Canis lupus familiaris: one gene and its partners. The protein of the gene in region 1 purifies or fractionates together with the protein of each later gene. This does not show direct contact. Links are inferred from orthologs where the notes say so. Each region holds a gene or a part of one and is shown in the gene's direction. Other genes may lie near its edges.

What was found.
Region 2: the proteins of OCRL (region 1) and SNX9 purify together in Homo sapiens (co-immunoprecipitation; 3 studies listed by BioGRID and IntAct, with this or other methods). This does not show direct contact. The link is inferred for Canis lupus familiaris from reciprocal best matches to the Homo sapiens genes OCRL and SNX9.
Region 3: the proteins of OCRL (region 1) and RAB1A purify together in Homo sapiens (co-immunoprecipitation; 3 studies listed by BioGRID and IntAct, with this or other methods). This does not show direct contact. The link is inferred for Canis lupus familiaris from reciprocal best matches to the Homo sapiens genes OCRL and RAB1A.
Region 4: the proteins of OCRL (region 1) and AP2A1 purify together in Homo sapiens (affinity purification with mass spectrometry; 3 studies listed by BioGRID and IntAct, counting the BioPlex papers as one, with this or other methods). This does not show direct contact. The link is inferred for Canis lupus familiaris from reciprocal best matches to the Homo sapiens genes OCRL and AP2A1.
Region 5: the proteins of OCRL (region 1) and PLEKHJ1 purify together in Homo sapiens (co-immunoprecipitation; 3 studies listed by BioGRID and IntAct, counting the BioPlex papers as one, with this or other methods). This does not show direct contact. The link is inferred for Canis lupus familiaris from reciprocal best matches to the Homo sapiens genes OCRL and PLEKHJ1.

Annotation. Positions count from the first base shown.
Region 1 is NC_049260.1:101,704,024-101,707,538, forward strand, and holds part of OCRL (inositol polyphosphate 5-phosphatase OCRL), read left to right. Parts: intron 1-518; coding exon 519-646; intron 647-2,179; coding exon 2,180-2,291; intron 2,292-2,471; coding exon 2,472-2,593; 3' UTR 2,594-3,515. UniProt on the Homo sapiens protein: Catalyzes the hydrolysis of the 5-position phosphate of phosphatidylinositol 4,5-bisphosphate (PtdIns(4,5)P2) and phosphatidylinositol-3,4,5-bisphosphate (PtdIns(3,4,5)P3), with the greatest catalytic activity towards PtdIns(4,5)P2.
Region 2 is NC_049222.1:47,942,333-47,945,847, forward strand, and holds part of SNX9 (sorting nexin-9), read left to right. Parts: intron 1-444; exon of another isoform or gene 445-551; intron 552-943; coding exon 944-1,020; intron 1,021-2,178; coding exon 2,179-2,268; intron 2,269-3,515. UniProt on the Homo sapiens protein: Involved in endocytosis and intracellular vesicle trafficking, both during interphase and at the end of mitosis. Required for efficient progress through mitosis and cytokinesis. Required for normal formation of the cleavage furrow at the end of mitosis.
Region 3 is NC_049231.1:65,853,995-65,856,857, reverse strand, and holds the end of RAB1A (ras-related protein Rab-1A), read left to right. Parts: intron 1-29; coding exon 30-125; intron 126-1,698; coding exon 1,699-1,830; intron 1,831-2,077; coding exon 2,078-2,275; 3' UTR 2,276-2,349; downstream 2,350-2,863. UniProt on the Homo sapiens protein: The small GTPases Rab are key regulators of intracellular membrane trafficking, from the formation of transport vesicles to their fusion with membranes.
Region 4 is NC_049222.1:107,457,510-107,461,476, reverse strand, and holds the start of AP2A1 (AP-2 complex subunit alpha-1), read left to right. Parts: upstream 1-1,163; 5' UTR 1,164-1,300; coding exon 1,301-1,367; intron 1,368-3,967.
Region 5 is NC_049241.1:57,268,965-57,273,245, forward strand, and holds PLEKHJ1 (pleckstrin homology domain-containing family J member 1), read left to right. Parts: upstream 1-1,466; 5' UTR 1,467-1,796; coding exon 1,797-1,890; exon of another isoform or gene 1,891-1,986; coding exon 1,987-2,054; intron 2,055-2,508; coding exon 2,509-2,575; intron 2,576-3,125; coding exon 3,126-3,216; intron 3,217-3,287; coding exon 3,288-3,351; intron 3,352-3,429; coding exon 3,430-3,495; 3' UTR 3,496-4,038; downstream 4,039-4,281.

The DNA of each region.
Region 1 (3,515 bases):
CTGTCTTCTATTATAAGGTAATCATTGACTCTGCAGTTGTTTTTCAATTCCTTTTAGGAACTTTTGACTTCTCTCTGTATCAGACTCATACTGAAAGGAATCAAGGGGTAGGTAACAACGACTTTTAATAAACATGGAACATAGGACCCACAGCACTGGCACTGTTTTGCTTCAGGCCATTGATCACTCCTGCCACCACATGTGTTGTCACTAGGACACAGAAGAGGATGGGAAACATTGGTGACTAGTTTAAAGGACTGATCAAGTGTGAACATCATTCTATATGCCATATTCCCCTGATTCTCACACGTTGAGCCAAACCTCCCAAGAGGTTGATAAATTCTGTAACAGCTCAGCTGCATACCTGGACCACTAAAATATCAAACCCCAATTAGGATTAGTCTGCCCTGAATAATAGGAAGGAAACTGTCCCTGAGGGAGCTGGAGGAAGAAAGCAAATCGGGTCTCTGTGTGGTTTTTTTCCTGGAGCCACATTCCCTTGACTTAAGGTAACCCAGCTGGCAGTAATCACTCTGTGGCTGAAGCACTGCTCATTTTCCTGGAAGCCCTGCCAGAGCCTGTCATATGTTATGAGCTGTATCAGCGATGCCTTGACTCTGCTCAGGATCCCCAGAACTGCCGACAGGTGAGTTTTACTGTCCTGTGTGTCTGAGGCAAGTGCCCCCATAGAGAAATCAATTTAACAAGGCCAGGTGTATATCTAGCTGTGTGGTAGGGTGGATCTGAATCTGTTATTCATGACAGGACACCAGCATTGAGAGTTGGGACTTTTAAATTTTAGGTTGTGTTATTTCCTGTTATATTTGCCACACTTTTCTAGTTGGCCTATTGAATAGGGCAGATACCTCTGCTCTGGCATAGGATTGGTGAAGCTGATCATATATAGAATTCTGGCTGAATTACCAGAAAGGGTCAGTGATGCTTGTAAGCCTTTCTCCTTTTTGTCTTCTTGGTGTTTTTTGGTTTGGTTTGGCGGTTTTTTAGATTTTATTTATTTATTTGAGAGAGAGAGAGAGAGACCATGTGCACATGACTGATGGGGAAGGGCAGAAGGAGAGAGAGAGAGAAGCAGACCGCCTGCTGAGTGGGGAGCCTGCCACAGGGCTCTATCCCAGGACCCTGAGATCATGACCTGCGCCAAAGACAGATGCTTGCTTAACTGACTGAGCCACCCAGGCGCCCCCTTGGTGTTTTTTAAAGATTTTATTTCTACATAATCTACACCCAATGTGGGGCTCGAACCCACAACCCGGAGATCAGGAGTTGCACACTCCACTGACTGAGCCAACCAGGTGTCCCTTCTTGGTGTTTTTTTTTTTAAGATTTTAAAAATTTATTTATTCATGAGAGACACAGAGAGAGGCAGAGATATAGGTAGAGACTCGATCCCAGGACTAGACCTAACCCTAACTAGGACTAGATCTCAGGAATAGACCTGAGCCAAAAGCAGATGCTCAACAATTAAGCCACCCAGGCATCCTTGGTGTTTGTTTTTCTTTTATTTTTTTTAATTTTTAAAGATTTTTATTTATTCATGAGAGATACAGAGAAAGAGGGGCAGAGACAGGCTGAGGGAGAAGCAGGCTTCATGCAGAGAGCCCGATGTGGGACTCGATCCTGGGACCCCAGGATCACACCCTGAGCCGAAGGCAGACGCTCAACCGCTGAGCTACCCAGGTGTCCCGGTGTTTGTTTTTAATTCTGAAATAATTTTGATGCACAGTAGCTAAGAATACCTCTCAGTCAGACTAGTGAGTATTGGGAGGAGCTCCCATCTATGTTAAATGACATTGCAGAGAAAACCATTGAGCTTGGCAGATGCCATGGCTACCTGTCTGAGGAGACTGAAAAAGACCAGATTAATAGTAACCTGCTTGTAAGGTGGGATGTGTTTGTGTAAATGTGTGATGACCACATCACACATGTGAATATGGCCTGGTCTTTGAGTGGACAGGGGCCAAACAGTATGACCATTCTGACTTGGAAGTTATCATTTGGCATGTACTCTGTTAATCATGAGGAAATAAAAGAGAGTCGTGTCAGATAAATGGGGTCCTGTATGGGTTGAATTATAAAGTACTGTGGCAGCTATGAGCTCTTCTTACTCCCTTCTTTCACTTGTTCTCCTTACTGCCCACCCCCCTTTTCTTAAAAACAGGTGATTTCCCAGCTTCCAAGATGCCATAAAAATGTTTTCCATTACTTGATGGCATTCCTTCGAGAACTCTTAAAATTCTCTAAGTACAACAATGTCAGCGAAAACATGATCGGTAAGAGTACTTCATTAAAACGACAGCATGAGCAGGAGGGTGGGCTGGTTGGGACAGCCTTCCTGTCCAGGTGCATGGCCTACTGCCCTCATCCAGTGGTCCCCCAGTTCCCATTCCTGAAGTTTTGCATAGATTGTATCTGACAAAGGGTTTTCCCCTTTCCTTTTTCTCACCCTCTAGCTACTCTCTTCACTAGTCTTCTCCTAAGGCCTCCACCCAACCTTATGGCAAGACAGACTCCAAGTGACCGTCAGCGTGCTATCCAGTTTCTTCTGGGGTTTCTTGAGAGTGATGAAGACTAATAAGCCTTTTCCTCTTACTACTCTCCGAGATTCTAGAGGTGGAAAATCTTGGGCACTAAGTATTTCAGAATGAAATGAAAAGTCATGCCACGAGAAGGGTCAGTTGCAGAATTTTGAGGCTTTTGGCATGAAAAGGTTATTTCTAGTACAAGAGGAAGAGAGTTTCCTAATCCCTCCCTTACCATATCCTACACAGCAAAATACTTTTAGACTTATATTGCCAAGCCAAAGGTACCATATTTTGGTGGTTTTGTGTTCTCTCTTTATAAGGCAAAGAGATCTGTATTTACACTCCTTTATCTGGGGATGTGTTTGTTGCCCTCCTCCCCAGCTGTCATGATTGTCCTTAGCACCTAGGCCTAGATTCTGAGATGTTCCTATTCTAGGCCTACATGCACTACGTGCTGTAGCTCAGACTTGTCTGTAGTCCTTCGTCTAAAGCACTTTTGCCCGACCCCCTCCCATATCACCCCTTTGCACTCTACTCGACTAACTCTATTACATCGAAGGAAGTCTGAGTGAAGCTAGTAACTATTCAGATGTCCCCAACAGTGAGTTTACCATCTTCATGTGGTTGTGACATGGCATTTGTGCATTTCTACTACAGTGGCATTTGTATGTCTCTGTAACATTGGCCTTTTCATGGATCTGCACTGGGTGGAACCGTATTCTTTTGTCTCAGACCATGTTTACTAGCAGAACTTTAGAGATTACTAGAGATGACATCCCATTGATGTGAGAGAATCATGATCAGAGTGGAAGCACTTTGAGCATTTTAAAAGTGAGAATATTTATGTTTGACAGGTCTTGCTTTCTACCATCCCTTTCTGTTCTTATTCAAATTTCACGTGAGAACTAATACTAGTTGTCTGGAGGATCCATTCCCCACTTAGAAATCCACCTCCAGAGCAAAATCCACCTC
Region 2 (3,515 bases), on another chromosome or scaffold:
CCTCTGTTATTACCTCTGCTGTGCTCATTCTCTGTCAAATAAATAAATAAATAAATAAATAGATAGATAGATAGATAGATAGATAGATAGATAAAATCTTTTTTAAAAAAATAGAAATGCTTCAGATCAAGAAGGAGTGATAGAAGTAGAATAGCAACACTTTGCAAACCTTTCCTAAAATGAGAGATTTAGATAGTACAGGAAACAGAGGACTGCATTATCACCACAGACACAGCAAAACCCAGACTGTGGGTACCAAGGCACCTAGTTTCTTCAATACCCCCGAAAAGAAATTGGCAAGAAAAAAGGGAGGAGAAAGAACCTAAAGACTAAAGAAACACTTCAGCTCTCTATGATGTGGACTTTCTCTGAGTCCTGAAAGCAGCGAGCTTGATTCCAGACTCCAGGGAGCTGTCCACTTACTGGATTATCAGGAGCAGTTACCTTGTCTCCAGTGTTGTGTTGATATTGTCCTTGCTTTTTAAAGAATGCTTATCTTGGGGCAGCTGGGTGGCTCAGTCAGTTAAGCAACTGCCTTCATTCAGTTCAGGTCATGACCCCAGAGTCCCTGCTCAACAGGGAATCTGCTTCTCTGCCCACTCCCTGCTCATGCTCGTTCCCTCTCACGCGCTCTCTCTCTCAAAAAGGTGAAATCTTAAATCAAAACAAAAAAGAACTTAAAGTGTGCTTATCTTTGAGGTCAAATTTATGGGTGCATTGTTACATGGCCAGTGAAAGGGGGACTTTAGGGGCGGACAGTATGGGTGCTGCAGAAAGACTGGCCATGAGTTGTTCACTGGGAAGCCAGGGGATGGGTAGATGGGAACTTGTTACCCTATCCTCTAGTTTTGAAAAGTATAGTGTTTTCTATAATAAGATTTTTAAGTAAAGTACGCGAAGGGAAAGTACATATGACCACTGATGTAGCTGTAATGATTTCCAGGCGAAACGGATCTCAACGCTGCCATCACCGAAGCAGGAAAGACTTACGAAGAAATTGCTGGTCTTGTGGCAGAGCAGGTATCCACAGAGACCCATGTAGCTCCAGGGCACAGCAGCTGCTGTCCAATCCACATGTTCTTTCAACCTATTTTAAAACAAACTTTGCCAACAACTCTCCTCTTATGTTCCTCTGTATCTTTTGTTAATTGTATATGGTAATAGTGTTTCTTTGGTTAAGCTAAAGTGATGGATACATTTATCATCGAGAAATCTAAATGAGTATCTTCCAGTGTCAATGGCTGGATCCATCCTCAGCCATCAGGAGTTGGAATGTTCTATCAGGAACACCGTTCATATCACCATTTAGACTCTTAGCTTGTCTGAGGCTGCTTTACCCACCTGGTAAACGGTGGTAGTAGAGCCTACTCTGTAAGGTTCTCAGCATTCAGCAGCCACAAAGGAGAAGGCACCAGTGGGGGATTTGGCAGGGAGAAGGTCTTTGATAGAGTCACATGGCTTTTACTGAGGCCTTCAGTAGTCCTGATTCCAGTTCTTTTGACAGATAACCAATAACAAATTCCCTTAAGGGGAATAGACATCTGTGTTGACATTTGTGTCTCAAATCCCTAAATTAAAAGTTTTTCAGACAACTTCTTGAAATACGTATTTGTGCACATACACCCGTTGCACACCCCTTCGTGTTAGTCATTGACTACTGCTCCTTATAGAAAAAGATTAGGTTGAAAAAAAAGAAAAGAAAAGAAAAAGATTAGGTTGTAGAAATGCATAACATAGCTATTAAAATTATAATTCAGAAAAATTGAAATATTTTAAGTTGCCACTTAAGATAGTTACCAGATCTTTAGTAATAATTTACATTCTCTGCCAAAATTTAAACATTAAGTTACTACATCTTCTTTGCTTGTGTATGAGTAATATTAACCAGTTTTCCCCCCTAATAGTATTATATTTGAAGCCGCCTCAAAATAACTAATTTTTATCAGCCAGCCTAAAAACGATCTGATGTTTTATGATTTTCTCTCCAATCTACAATTGAGAATGTAGTAGTCTTGGGGCCTGTTTTCTTGCAGGAAAACTAGGCTGATTGCATAGCCCTTGGTATGGTAACTAGTACCCCAGGGGCTTGGCTCATGCAAGTCCTCTGGGCAACTGTTTTCTTGGCCTTGATGGTCTGGATTTCTCTGCCAGGAATAACCACCCTGTGTCTTGTTTTAGCCAAAGAAAGATCTTCATTTCCTCATGGAATGTAATCATGAATATAAAGGCTTCCTTGGCTGCTTCCCTGATATTATCGGCGCCCACAAGGTAACTTAAGCACAGAAGTGCACAGATGACACGGGTGACCTAGGGCTGCTACGCAGGGCCACCTGCATGGCCACCTGCGAGGGCCCTGTCGGTCAGCTTGGCCCCAAGTAAGGAAGAGCTTTCTGAAATCGGCCGGAGCTGCCTGTGGTGTTCAGTTAGTGAGGTCCCATAACACATATAGGCTATGGGTTATTGTTTCTTTGATTCTATAGACAGACTATTTTGAGGGAACAAAAATGTGAAAAATACTCCTTTCTGCCTATACTTAGGTCAGGTATCAAACAAAATAATCATGCTATTTGAAATTCAAAACAAGATTAGGAATACTGCTTCCCTTACTAGTGAGACCTCTGTAAGCTGCTTGGGCAAGTCACTAAAGACCCTTCCTTCCCCGTCAAGATGAAGTAAGATATTCTGTCCCTGGGCCTGACGAAGGGTTCCTAATTAAAACTTAAATGGTCAACGTCGATTTTATATTTTTGTGCTAATAAGGAAACTATAGAAGTCCCACCATAAAGGTATTTTTTGAACTGAATTTTGACATGTTTTGGGATGTCCTCACTTTTTGATTCTGGTTAGTTTTTCTGTTTCCAACTCATTATTTCAGAATAGGGGCATTTTATCAACTATAGTACTCTGGGATGTTGTAATATACTTGAATTTATTAGGAAAATCTCTGCCAAGGGCTGGTCTGTGACCCTAACAATTCTGACATGTGGCCATTTTAGCATTCAGCTCAATAATACAAGCCTCAGGAAGGGGTAGTATGGGCAAATAGGAAGCTTTGTGCAACTTCAGATAATTTAATATGAAACTCAGAACATTCTCTTTACCAAGTGGACACTTGGGGGGTGTTTCGGTATTGTGGCTGTTGTGGGTAATGATAGGAATGCAGTGATCTCTCTGAGATAGTGGTTTCCCCTTCTTCAGATATGTACCCAGAAATGCAATTGCTAGGGGAGTAGATCTTAAATGTTCTCGTCACAAGGGGAAAAACAAACTTGTAACTCTGTGAGGTGATGGATGTTAACTGTTACTGTGGTCATCGTCCTGCAGTAAAGACAGACCTCAGATGGTTATGTTGTACTGTCGTACACCTTCAACTCCTACCTTGCTGTCTGTGAATCACATCAACAAAACTGGCGGGGGTGGAGAGGGATAGGGAATAAAATAAACATAATAAAACTAAAAGTCTTAGTTAAAAAAACATCTCAGAAGAGTTAGCTTGTTGTAGGGATTTATGCCAG
Region 3 (2,863 bases), on another chromosome or scaffold:
TTTTTGGATTTCTTGATTGTTTTTAACAGTGGGACACAGCAGGCCAAGAAAGATTTCGAACAATCACCTCCAGTTATTACAGAGGAGCCCATGGCATCATAGTTGTGTATGACGTGACAGATCAGGTAAGTTCCGGGGGTACGTTTTGTTAGTGACAAAGTAGGAAGTTTAAAGCAGGTACATTGATATTTTTCTCCCCTCCATTATTTGAATATCCAACCAAAATTTTACATTATTTTCCTTTAATAGAAAATTTAGTAATTGGCTTTACATTTGCTTTCAAGGGACTCTGCTTATATTTATTATCAACTAAATCTTTTGATCATTTCAGCAAGAGTTCATAGGGAACTGTGGATTGTTTAGTGTGTACTGTGTTCTTGGTGTTAAGTATTAGCAGGAATTTGCTAGACCTCTTAGAGTTGTCAAAAGTGAGATTAGAGGTCTCTGTGTGTGGAGGATATGGGTCCGAAATAGGATGAGCTGGAGGAAGATTTTTAAGAGGACAATGAGGGGGCACCTGGGTGGCTCAGTCTGTGGAGTGGCCAACTCTTGGTTTCAGCTCAGGCTCAAGTTGTGATCTCGGGGTCACAGCTCAAGCCCCAAATCAGGCTCCATGCTCAGCAGGGAGTCTGCTGCTTCTTTCTCTCTGCCCCATCCTCCCGTTTGAGCAGCTCTTTTGCTCTAAAAGAAATAATCTTGGGGCAGCCCCAGTGGCTCAGCGGTTTAGTGCCACCTTTGGCCCAGGGCCTGATCCTGGAGACCCAGGATCGAGTCCTGCATCGGGCTCCCTGCATGGGGCCTGCTTCTCCCTCTGCCTGTGTCTTTGTTTCTCTCATGAATAAATAAATAAAATCTTTAAAAAATAAAATAATCTTTAGATGCTCATTGTTCCCCTCCCTCCCCCTTTTAAAAAAAAAATTTTCCCCTCCCCCCTTTTAAAAGATAAGCTGTTGAAAGAACATAGGGGATATAGAGGTAGTGTGAAGATGGTGGTCTAGGGGCCATGAATGTTCTTTTGATAAGAAAACTTCAGGGTCCTTTTTTTCTTATCAAATAATGAAAGGTAAACTTTGACTATTTAAATACATTTTTCTTGGGGCAGATGTTAAATCTCACTGCTACTGTGAAATCATAGCTAATTAAGAGATAGCTAGAATCCTAGACTTTAGTGCCATTAGAAGTATTGGGTCACTGATGTCAATAGAAGAAATGATGCTAATTTTAAAAATCTCAAGTCATTACCATGATATTATGAAGTATGAAAATTTTCCTCCCCTCAATAGGTCTGTGAAAAAGAAAAACATCTTTCTTTACCTTGGACCCATTTATTTAATATCTTTTGATATCTCTAGTATTATCATGTAGGTAGGCACTCTAGTATATGAACCAGCGTTTTATCAAATTTCAAAAACCAGGTTTTTATAGGTGCATTTAAATTGCATATTCCAAAACAGCTAGATTTGACTGAGCTGTAGTTTAATGATGAACTGGTATGTTCTCTTTCTTAAGCATTCAAATTCTAATCTCTTTTTCATGCAGGTACGGTTAGTCATTTTAGTATGTCACTTCACTTTCTTCCCAGCACAGCTCAAATTGTCTCACTAGTCTCTTCTTAGGCCAGGAAAGACCTTTTACTTGCTTGTTTAGAGCTGTTGTGTCCAGAGCTATGATCATTCTTAAAAATGTCTGTTTTCTTAGGAGTCCTTCAATAATGTTAAACAGTGGCTGCAGGAAATAGACCGTTATGCCAGTGAAAACGTCAACAAGTTGTTGGTAGGGAACAAATGCGATCTGACCACAAAGAAAGTAGTAGACTACACAACAGCAAAGGTATGTTTCAAGTTTGATTTTCAGCCAGAATTTGAAGGTGTTCAGTTTGAATTGTGTGTGGGTGTGGAGTCACACGACAGCCATAGCCACCTACATATGTGCACTGGATCACGCAGATAGTGACAATCCATGCAGTATCTATGGATTCACTTAAACTTAGTCCTTCCTCACTCCCCATTTCAGATGATAGAAATGCACTAGGTGGGAAAAAATTGTCAGTGTTAATTAAGGCTTCCTATTCTCTTAGGAATTTGCAGATTCCCTTGGAATTCCATTTTTGGAAACCAGTGCTAAGAACGCAACGAATGTAGAACAGTCTTTCATGACGATGGCAGCTGAGATTAAAAAGCGAATGGGTCCTGGAGCAACAGCTGGTGGTGCAGAGAAGTCCAATGTGAAAATTCAGAGCACTCCGGTCAAGCAGTCAGGTGGAGGTTGCTGCTAAAATTTGCCTCCGTCTTTCTCTCACAGCAAAGAATTTGCAATCTGAACCCAAGTGAAAAAACAAAATTGCCTGAATTGTACTGTATGTAGCTGCACTACAACAGATTCTTACCGTCTCCACAAAGGTCAGAGATTGTAAATGGTCAATACTGACTTTTTTTTTATTCCCTTGACTCAAGACAGCTAACTTCATTTTCAGAACTGTTTTAAACCTTTGTGTGCTGGTTTATAAAATAATGTGTGTAATCCTTGTTGCTTTCCTGATACCAGACTGTTTCCCGTGGTTGGTTAGAATATATTTTGTTTTGATGTTTATATTGGCATGTTTAGATGTCAGGTTTAGTCTTCTGAAGATGAAGTTCAGCCATTTTGTATCAAACAGCACAACCAGTGTCTGTCACTTTCCATGCATAAAGTTTAGTGAGATGTTATATGTAAGATCTGATTTGCTAGTTCTTCCTTGTAGAGTTATAAACGGAAAGATTACACTATCTGATTAATAGTTTCTTCATACTCTGCATATAATTTGTGGCTGCAGAATATTGTAATTTGTTGCACACTATGTAACAAAACAACTGAAGATATGTTT
Region 4 (3,967 bases), on another chromosome or scaffold:
TTTGCCCCAAATTTCTCAATAGCTCGGGGCATCGTAGTTCCTGAGGCTTTGCCTTCCCCCAAAATCAGCGAATCAAAGAAGGTCTCAGGGTGCCAAGGGGTAATGGTTGGACCAAACCAAGCAGATTCATCTATTCCTTCCTTTTAACTAGTGTTCTTCAGTACCAGATCCCATTCTTGCTCAGGAGGAACTCTAAGTTTGGTGGAGGAGAGGTTCACGATTTTGATTTGATATCTGTAGAATGGCGTTATGGTTGCCCCCAAAAGGCATTGTACATTGGAAAGTGGTTAAAAGACAAAATGTAGGTTAAATCCCTGCTCTGTTATCCTGAGAGCTGTGTGACCTTGGGCAAGTCACGCAACCTCTCTGGACCACAGGTTTAAGGTCTGCCTAAATAGGCTTAGATTGAAATTACTGTTTCCTCGGTTCTGAGAACGGAGGTTTCAACATCTTGGCCCCAGACAAGAGAGGGGGAAGGGGACGGGAAGACTTCCTGGAAGAAGATTTAAGGAGTCGGGGGTGGAAGAGAGGAGGGAGAAAGTGGAAACAGGCAGACGCTTGCGCAGTAAACATCTCACATTTTCTTGCCCCTCCCAACCACTTCTCTGCAGCGGGGAATTGCAGGCGACGCTCCACCTATCCAGGGCAAGACGAGTGACAACCCCGTCCCCCTTCCTTCTCTACCTATGATCGCCTTTCTCCCGCCCCCACAACCGCCCAATCGGGGGCGGGAACTGAGGAGGTCTGGCGAATCCGCGACGCCTGCGTGGGCGATCTGCCCGCTCATTGGTCTAGATAAATGCAAGTCCCGCCTCCCAAGCCCCCGCCCCCGCCTTCCTTCTTGTCAATCCCTCCCTTCGCCGGATCCAATCAGCAAGGGACCCGGCCTCACGGAGGGGGCGGTCCCACCACACGTAACCGAACTCCGCCCGTCTCTCGGGCAACGCCCCTTTCCCCCGCCCCCCGCGAACGGAAATAGCGGGCCACTGGGCCAATCGCAGCAGCGTGCCTTTGTCCAGCGACCAATGAGAGAGAGGGCGGGGGGCGGTTGCGTCCGATTCTGAGCGGCAGTAACTCGAGCCAATGGGAGGTTGATAGCTCAGGACGGCGAACGGGAGGGGAGGGGCCGGGGGCGGAGCCGCGGCCTGCCGCCCGCCCGCCCGCCCGCCAGCCCGCCCTCCCCCCTGGCCGGCTCTGCTTCTCGGCGCTGCTTGGGGTCCTTTGCTCCCGGTCCCCGCCTGCCAGCCCCCGCTGCGCTGTGCCCTGCCCGGCCAGGCCTGGAGCCGACACCACCGCCATCATGCCGGCCGTCTCCAAGGGCGATGGGATGCGGGGGCTCGCGGTGTTCATCTCCGACATCCGGAACTGTGAGAGCGCGGCCGGGGGACACTGGAGGGCGGGGGAGCATGGAATTGAGGGGCTCGGGGATTACTGAGGGGCCCGGGGCATTGAAAGCCATCGCGGGCGAAGGGGGGGAGGATAGAGAGGCCCCGGGGGGAACTTTAGGGTGGGAGCAATGGAAGGACTTAGGGTGTCATAGAGTGCCTCTTGAGGTGACGACACGGAGTGGCTAGAGGCGTCCGGGAGGGTGTTAAAGGAAAGGTCCCGGGGCTGGGGACATAAGGGTGTCCCCTGGGAATGCTAGAGAGGCTGGAGGAACCTATCAATGGTGGGGAGAGAGAAATCCTTGATGTCGGTAGAAAGGGAAGGAGGTGCATGGGTGGGGGGTACCCTGTGGAGCGATAGAGTGGGAGAGGGCCCGAGGAGACCGGGAGGACGTAAAACACAGGAAGCATCATGGGGTCTGGCTTTGAGGGCCTAGCTGGGGGGTGTCATAGAAGGGAAGGGGCTAGGTAGGTCACGGAGGCTCCTGGGTGGTGCACAGAGCGAATCTGAGAGTAATAGAAAGTCCCAGGGGGTTGAGGAAGAGAGATGGGAAGGTGGGACTATATAGCAGGACCTTGAAGAGGGAGAGAGGGACTCCAGGATGGAGGGCAATGGAGAGGGGGGCTGAAGGGTCGCTACAGGGAAAGGAGGGGTTGAGGAATATGGAGGAGAGTTGCTGGGGGTGGAGGGTCTTGGGAGAACCCGAGACAGGAAGCTAGGGGCCTGGAACAAAGAAGAAGAGGTTACAAAGTGGGGGCTTGAGGAATGTGCCAGAATGGGGAGAGCCCAGAGCTCAAAAGAAGGGCCCAGGGAGCCTTAGGATTTTGTTGGGAAGAGATCTGGAAAGCTGGGGGTTGGGGGAAGCCTGATCCCAGAGGGAGGTCAGAGGTCAGGGAGCAGGCCAGTCCTGAATCTGGAGCCCTCTCTCATCTGACCACATCAATATGGGGACAGTGAGCAGCAGCAGCAAGAATTGTCGTGACGATGAGAGGCCTGGTGCCAAGTCAGCTTCCCAACTCCTGGGAGTGGGTGTTGGTGTTTGGAGCTGCCAAGAGCTTTGGAGGCTATATCCGCAGGGGCTCTAGGGTCAGCCGGACCTGAGCTTGAGTTTGAGTGCTGTCACTCCCTAGCCATGTGACCTTGAATGGGGGATTTCGCCTTTCTATTTCCTCATCTGTCAGGAGGGACTGCTGATTGCACCTTCCTGATGAGGTTGTTGTGATAAATGCATGTGAGTGAGGCCTTCTGCACATTCCAAACACTGGACAGTCTTGGCTATTGTTTTTGTCATTTGGTGGATCTGACAAGTGGCCTCTGTTAGATGCCTGGAGATTATTTTGGAATTTGGTAGATATGAAAGGACTTAGTACATAGTAGGTGCTCAGCGAAAGAGGGCTGGAAGGTGTTGGGAGTCAGGTGAAGGAGAGATGTTGTGGTTACTATGGTAAGAGGTGAGTGAGAAGGGGCTGCGGGTTAGGTGGGGGGCCATCTATCAGGAGTAGGTGTGCATTGCCCCAGATGCCTACCAGCAATGTGAAGTGATGTGACTCTTGGCGAGTCATTTAACTTCTCTGAGTCCCAGTTTTTTCTTTTTTTTTTTTTCTTTCTTTCTTTCTTTCTTTCTTTTCTTTTTTTTAGACTTATTTATTTTAGAGAGAGACAGAAAGAGAGCACAAGGAGGAGGGGCAGAGAGAGAGGGAAAGAGAGAGACTCTCAAGCAGACACTGCATTGAGCACAGAGCCCAACTCAGGGCTTCATTTCACGACCCTGAGATCACCACCTGAGCCAAAATCAAGAGTCAGCTGCTCAGGCACCTCGAGGCTCCTATTTTCTTATCTGTAAACTTCCTTGATAATATCATCTTGTCTCTGAAGGTTCATTCATTCATTTATTCAACAAATGCTTTTTGATCACTACTTTTTTTTTTTAGATTGTATTTATTTATTCATGAGAGACACAGAGAAAGAGGCAAGGACACAGGCTGAGGGAGAAGCAGGCTCTCTGCTGGGAGTCTGATGCGGGATCACGACTTGAGCCGAAGGCAGATACCCAACCACTGAACCACCCAGGTGCCCCTGATCACTACTTTTTGACACTACACCTGGGACTAGGCTATAACAGCCAACAAGAATCTCTGGCTTGGGAGCACCCAGGCCATGAGGGACATAGAAAATAAACACTGAACTACAATAAATGACACTATGTCAGAAGGTAATGTGAAGGAAAGTCAGGAAGGAAAGATAAGGAAGGACCAGGATTGAGATGGTGCCTGAGTAGGCCTCCCCAAGGGGGTGACATGTGAGTAGACTTTTGAGTGAAGTGAAGGAACAGACCCTGTAGATTTTGGAGGGCAGAGGGGTCCAGGTGGAGGGATGGTGCATTTAGAGGTCCTGGGGTGGCAGTATGCTTGACGTGTGTTCTGGTAAGAGGGAGGGGACTTGTGTGGTTGGAGCTGAGGGGGGAGAGGGCAGGAAATGAGGGCAGAGAGAGGGGACAGGGATTGTGGAGGGCTTTACAGGCCTTAGCACTCTGGCCTTTCTCTGGGTGAAACGAGAGAAGGGTTAGAGCACAGGAGGGGCT
Region 5 (4,281 bases), on another chromosome or scaffold:
CCACCCCCCACCCCCCCAGGCAATGTTAGCATCCTCCTTAATTAGAGGGTGAGAGGGGGGATCCCTGGGTGGCTCAGCGGTCAGGGCGTGATCCTGGAGTCCCGGGATCGAGTCTCACGTCGGGCTCCCGGCACATGGAGCCTGCTTCTCCCTCTCCTCTGCCTTTGTCTCTGCCTCTCTCTCTATATATATATCTATCATAAATAAATAAAAATTAAAACAAAACAAAACAAAACAGGGTGAGAGTTACTACACCTCCAATGCAGAGCACGGCACCAAAGGTTAGCAAGGGCAGTTAAAACCCAAACCCAAGACCTTTGGAAACAGCTGAACTTAAGAGCTTGCGGGTACAAGTCAAACCAACCTTTTACAAAGAAACGCAAAACAGGGGGGAAAGTAAGAGAACAGGACTTAGATGAAATTTCAGAGCGAGAACAGCAAGAAGCATGGAAGGCATCCTCAAAGAAATCTGAAAGCATTCCCAAAGAAAGGGAAACAGCCCGGGCCCGGGGCTTGAGAGAATCTCATTGTTCGGACGGAAAAAAGGACAGAGACCCCCGTGGACAGAGACCATCGGGAGGCGCGGGTGGCTCAGGTCGTGACCCCAGGGTCCCGGGCTCCCCGCTCAGCAGTCAGCCTGCTTCTCCCTCTCCTCCCCCTGCTTGTACTCTACCTCCCCCTCTCTAATAAACAAATACAAATCTTTTTTTTTTTTTTAAAGATTGTATTTATTCATGAGAGACACACAGAGAGAGGCAGACACAGGCAGAGGAGCAGCAGGCCCCCTGCGCGGAGCCCGATGGGGGATTCGATCCCGGGACCCCGGGGTCACGCCCTGGGCCGCCTGGGGGCCCCAAGAGGGATGCTCAGTCTAGAGCTTGTTACCCTAAATTCTCAGCACGCACGTTCGCGGACAACCGAAGTCAACGTCAGCCCCGGGACGCCAGGGCGCGGGCCCGTCGCGGGCGCCCCCTCGGCCTCCCCCCCCCCCCCGACCCGCCGCCAGGGACCCCACGGCGCCGCCGGGCCCCGACCCGACCCGCACACTTCCGAGGAGGCGGGACTCGTCGGGCCCGACCCCGCGCGCGGCCAGGGAGCTGGGGCCCGGCGGCGCCGCGAACCCGAGAGCCCCCCGCCCCCCGCCGCTCCCGTCCGGGGAAGCCAGGGCCCCGGGACCGCCGCGCTCGGCCAGCCCGGATCCTCACCCCGCGCGACTCCTCACCCCGCGCCCGCCGCTGCCACGAAGACGTTATGCGCAGGCGCGTCGCGGGCTACAGAAGCGCTTCCGGGGGCAAACGGTGGGGTCTGGGGAGAGGGGTGAGGGCTTCCCGTGTGCGCATGCGTGCTTCGCCAGGCGAGGCGGACCTGATGCTCGAGAGGGCGAGGAAAGGGGGCGGGGCTGGGAATAAGGGCCGGAACTCGGGAGTGCGCGTGCGCACCAGGCTCTCCACGCCTAGCGGGCGCCGGGCCGGTTTCCGCGGGAGGGCGGGCGTGGGCTCGTCGGTAGAGGGCGCCACGGTCGTGAGGCTGCCTTCCTGGGTTCCCACCTCGGATCCAGCTGACTGCGTGGTTATTTATAACGGCCGTCCGTGTCGGCCGGTATCGCGTGCTCCCCCACGCGGGCCTGGCTTAGCGCCGCGCGCCGGCCAACACCACAATGCGTGTCTCGGGGCCGCGCAAGCGCAGTGGCCGCGACGGCGCTTCCGGGACGGCACTGTAGGACTTTTTTGGCGCGAGAGGGGACGGCGGCCGGGAGGGCGCGGCCCGCGCTCCGCGTTTTGGGTCCTGGCAGCGCCATGCGCTACAACGAGAAGGAGCTGCAGGCGCTGTCCCGGCAGCCGGCCGAACTGGCGGCCGAGCTGGGCATGCGAGGCCCCAAGAAAGGCAGTGGTGAGCGGGCCGGAGCGCCGGGCGGGCGGGCGGGCGGGCTGGCCGGGCGGGGGTGGGTGGCGGCCGAGCCCGCGTGAGCCCGCCCTGTGCCCGCAGTGCTGAAGCGGCGGCTGGTGAAGCTGGTGGTCAACTTCCTCTTCTACTTCCGGACGGACGAGGCCGAGGTAGGCCGACGGGCGGGGGTCGGGGCCGGGAAGAGAGCGGGGGCCCGGGGGGCGGGGAGGGCGGGGCCGGGGGAGGGGCCGGGGGCGGGGCCGGGACAGGTGTCGGGGCCGGGAAGGGAGCGGGGCCTGGCGGGGGGAGGGGAGGGCGGGGCCGGGGGGCGGGGCCGGGACAGGTGTCGGGGCCGGGGAGGGAGGGGGGCCTGGGGGGGGGGAGGGGAGGGCGGGGCCGGGGGAGGGGCCGGGACAGGTGTCGGGGCCGGGAAGGGAGGGGGCCTGGGGGGGAGGGGAGGGAGGGGCCGGGGGCGGGGCCCGGACAGGAGTCGGGGCGGGGGGAGGGGCCGGGAGCGGGGCCCGGACAGGTGTGGGGGGGGGCGCGCCGGGCGGGCTTTGGGGTCCGGCGGGGGCGGGGGCCCGGGTCCCCACGAGGCCGGTCCCCACTCGCCCCCTCCCGCAGCCCGTCGGAGCCCTGCTGCTGGAGCGCTGCAGAATCACCCAGGAAGAGCCCAGCGGCTTCTCCATCTGTGAGTGCCGCGCCCGCCCTGCCCCTTCGGCCCGGCCGCGGGTCTGCGCGGAGACAAAGTCCACCCTTCCCTCGGGCTGCCGGGGTGCAGCTCCTCTAGGACCTTGTCTCCTGTTGGGCAGTGCTGCACTGGGCTGCCGGGCCCTGCTGTGGGCGCCCTGGGGCTGGAGAAGTGACGTCATTGGGCCTGCGGGGGATCCTTGTCGGGGAGGTTGTCCCAGGCGAGCCTGGCTTCCGGGGTGGCCGGCAGCTGGCAGCGCCCTTGCCTCTGCAGAAGGACTCCTAGGGTGTTCGTGTCCCCCCTTCATGTTCTCGGGGACGTCCTGTGCCGCCTATTCTCCCCTGACTTATTAAGTAGCCGCACTCTGAAGGGTTCTGTATCTGGGCCACAGGCTCTAGGGTTAGGACTGGAACTACTGTGTGGGGGGCACCATTCAGTCCACTCAGCCGCTGGGAGTCGTCTTGGCCTGGAGGAAGGTGGAGGCCCGTGGGGGGGCTTCGGAGGGGGCGGCGGGCAGTGAGATGGGACAGACAGACCGCTCCCTCCGCAGGCTTCATGGAGGACCCAGAGAGGAAGTACCACTTTGAGTGCTGCAGTGAGGAGCAGTGTCAGGAGTGGATGGGGGCTCTGCGTCGAGCCAGGTGAGGTGTGGGCCTGCCCAGGGGCTGGGGAGGGGGGGGCCTGAGTGAGCACATTCCACTTTCTCCCCCAGCTACGAGTTCATGCGGAGAAGCCTCATATTCTACAGGAATGAGATCCAGAAGATGACTGGCAAGGTGCGCAGGGGGCAGGGGGCAGGGGGCCGGGCAGCGGCCTCTGGGGCCCCGGCTCATGCTGCTGGTTCATCCACACAGGACCCCCTGGAGCAGTTCGGCATATCTGAGGAGGCCAGGTTCCAGCTGGGTGGCTTGAAGGCCTGAGTTGGGTGGGGCTCGCCACCTTTTCTACTGGGACTGGAACAAGCACTCACTCCCTGTTTTCTCCAGGCCCTGGGTGTCCTGGTCAGGCCTGGATTTGCTGCAGCAGGTGCTTGGCTTAAAGACTTCAAAAGCCCACGATGGTGGCGGGGGACGGGGGCAGGTTGGACAGACAACCCAGTAAGCCCCCCTATGCTCGTGCCTCGGGGACCCCCCTAGACTGGTCTGGTACCTGTTGGTGCCACATGCTGCTACCGGGGGACAAGTGTCCACTCCTAGAAGCTGCGCCCAGCCCCTTGGGCACGTCCATCTGGGGCCTGGCGGCACCTGAGGCTGGCACAGGTCTCCTGCTCTGTGCAGGCTGAATGTACAAGGCCAGACGATGCTGTGAAGGGCGTGGGGGCCACGCCTCTTGGAGCCACTGTGAATCCTCCTCCTGCTGATGGGGCAGCCCCTGGCCAGCCGCCTCTAGGCGGACCTGGAAGCATTTGCTCTCAGGCCAGCGAGCTTGTTCTGTTCAAATAAAGGTACCTCTTTTTCACATGGGACGGTGCTGCAGTGAATGCAGGGAGGGGCTGCTGGACCCGGGTGGTTGGAGCTGGCTCCCGAGGGCAGTGAGGCCTCAGCGGGACGGCAGCCTGCCCCAGGTTGGAGGTTTCCATGCCCAGGAGGAAGGGCTGGGCTGCCCCAGTGGAGGGCGAGACCTCGAACCAGGCCAGGGAGAGGCAGGGAGGCAGGGATGTAGAGAACAGAAGGGTGATAGGATTAAACCCAAAGATGATCTGTGAT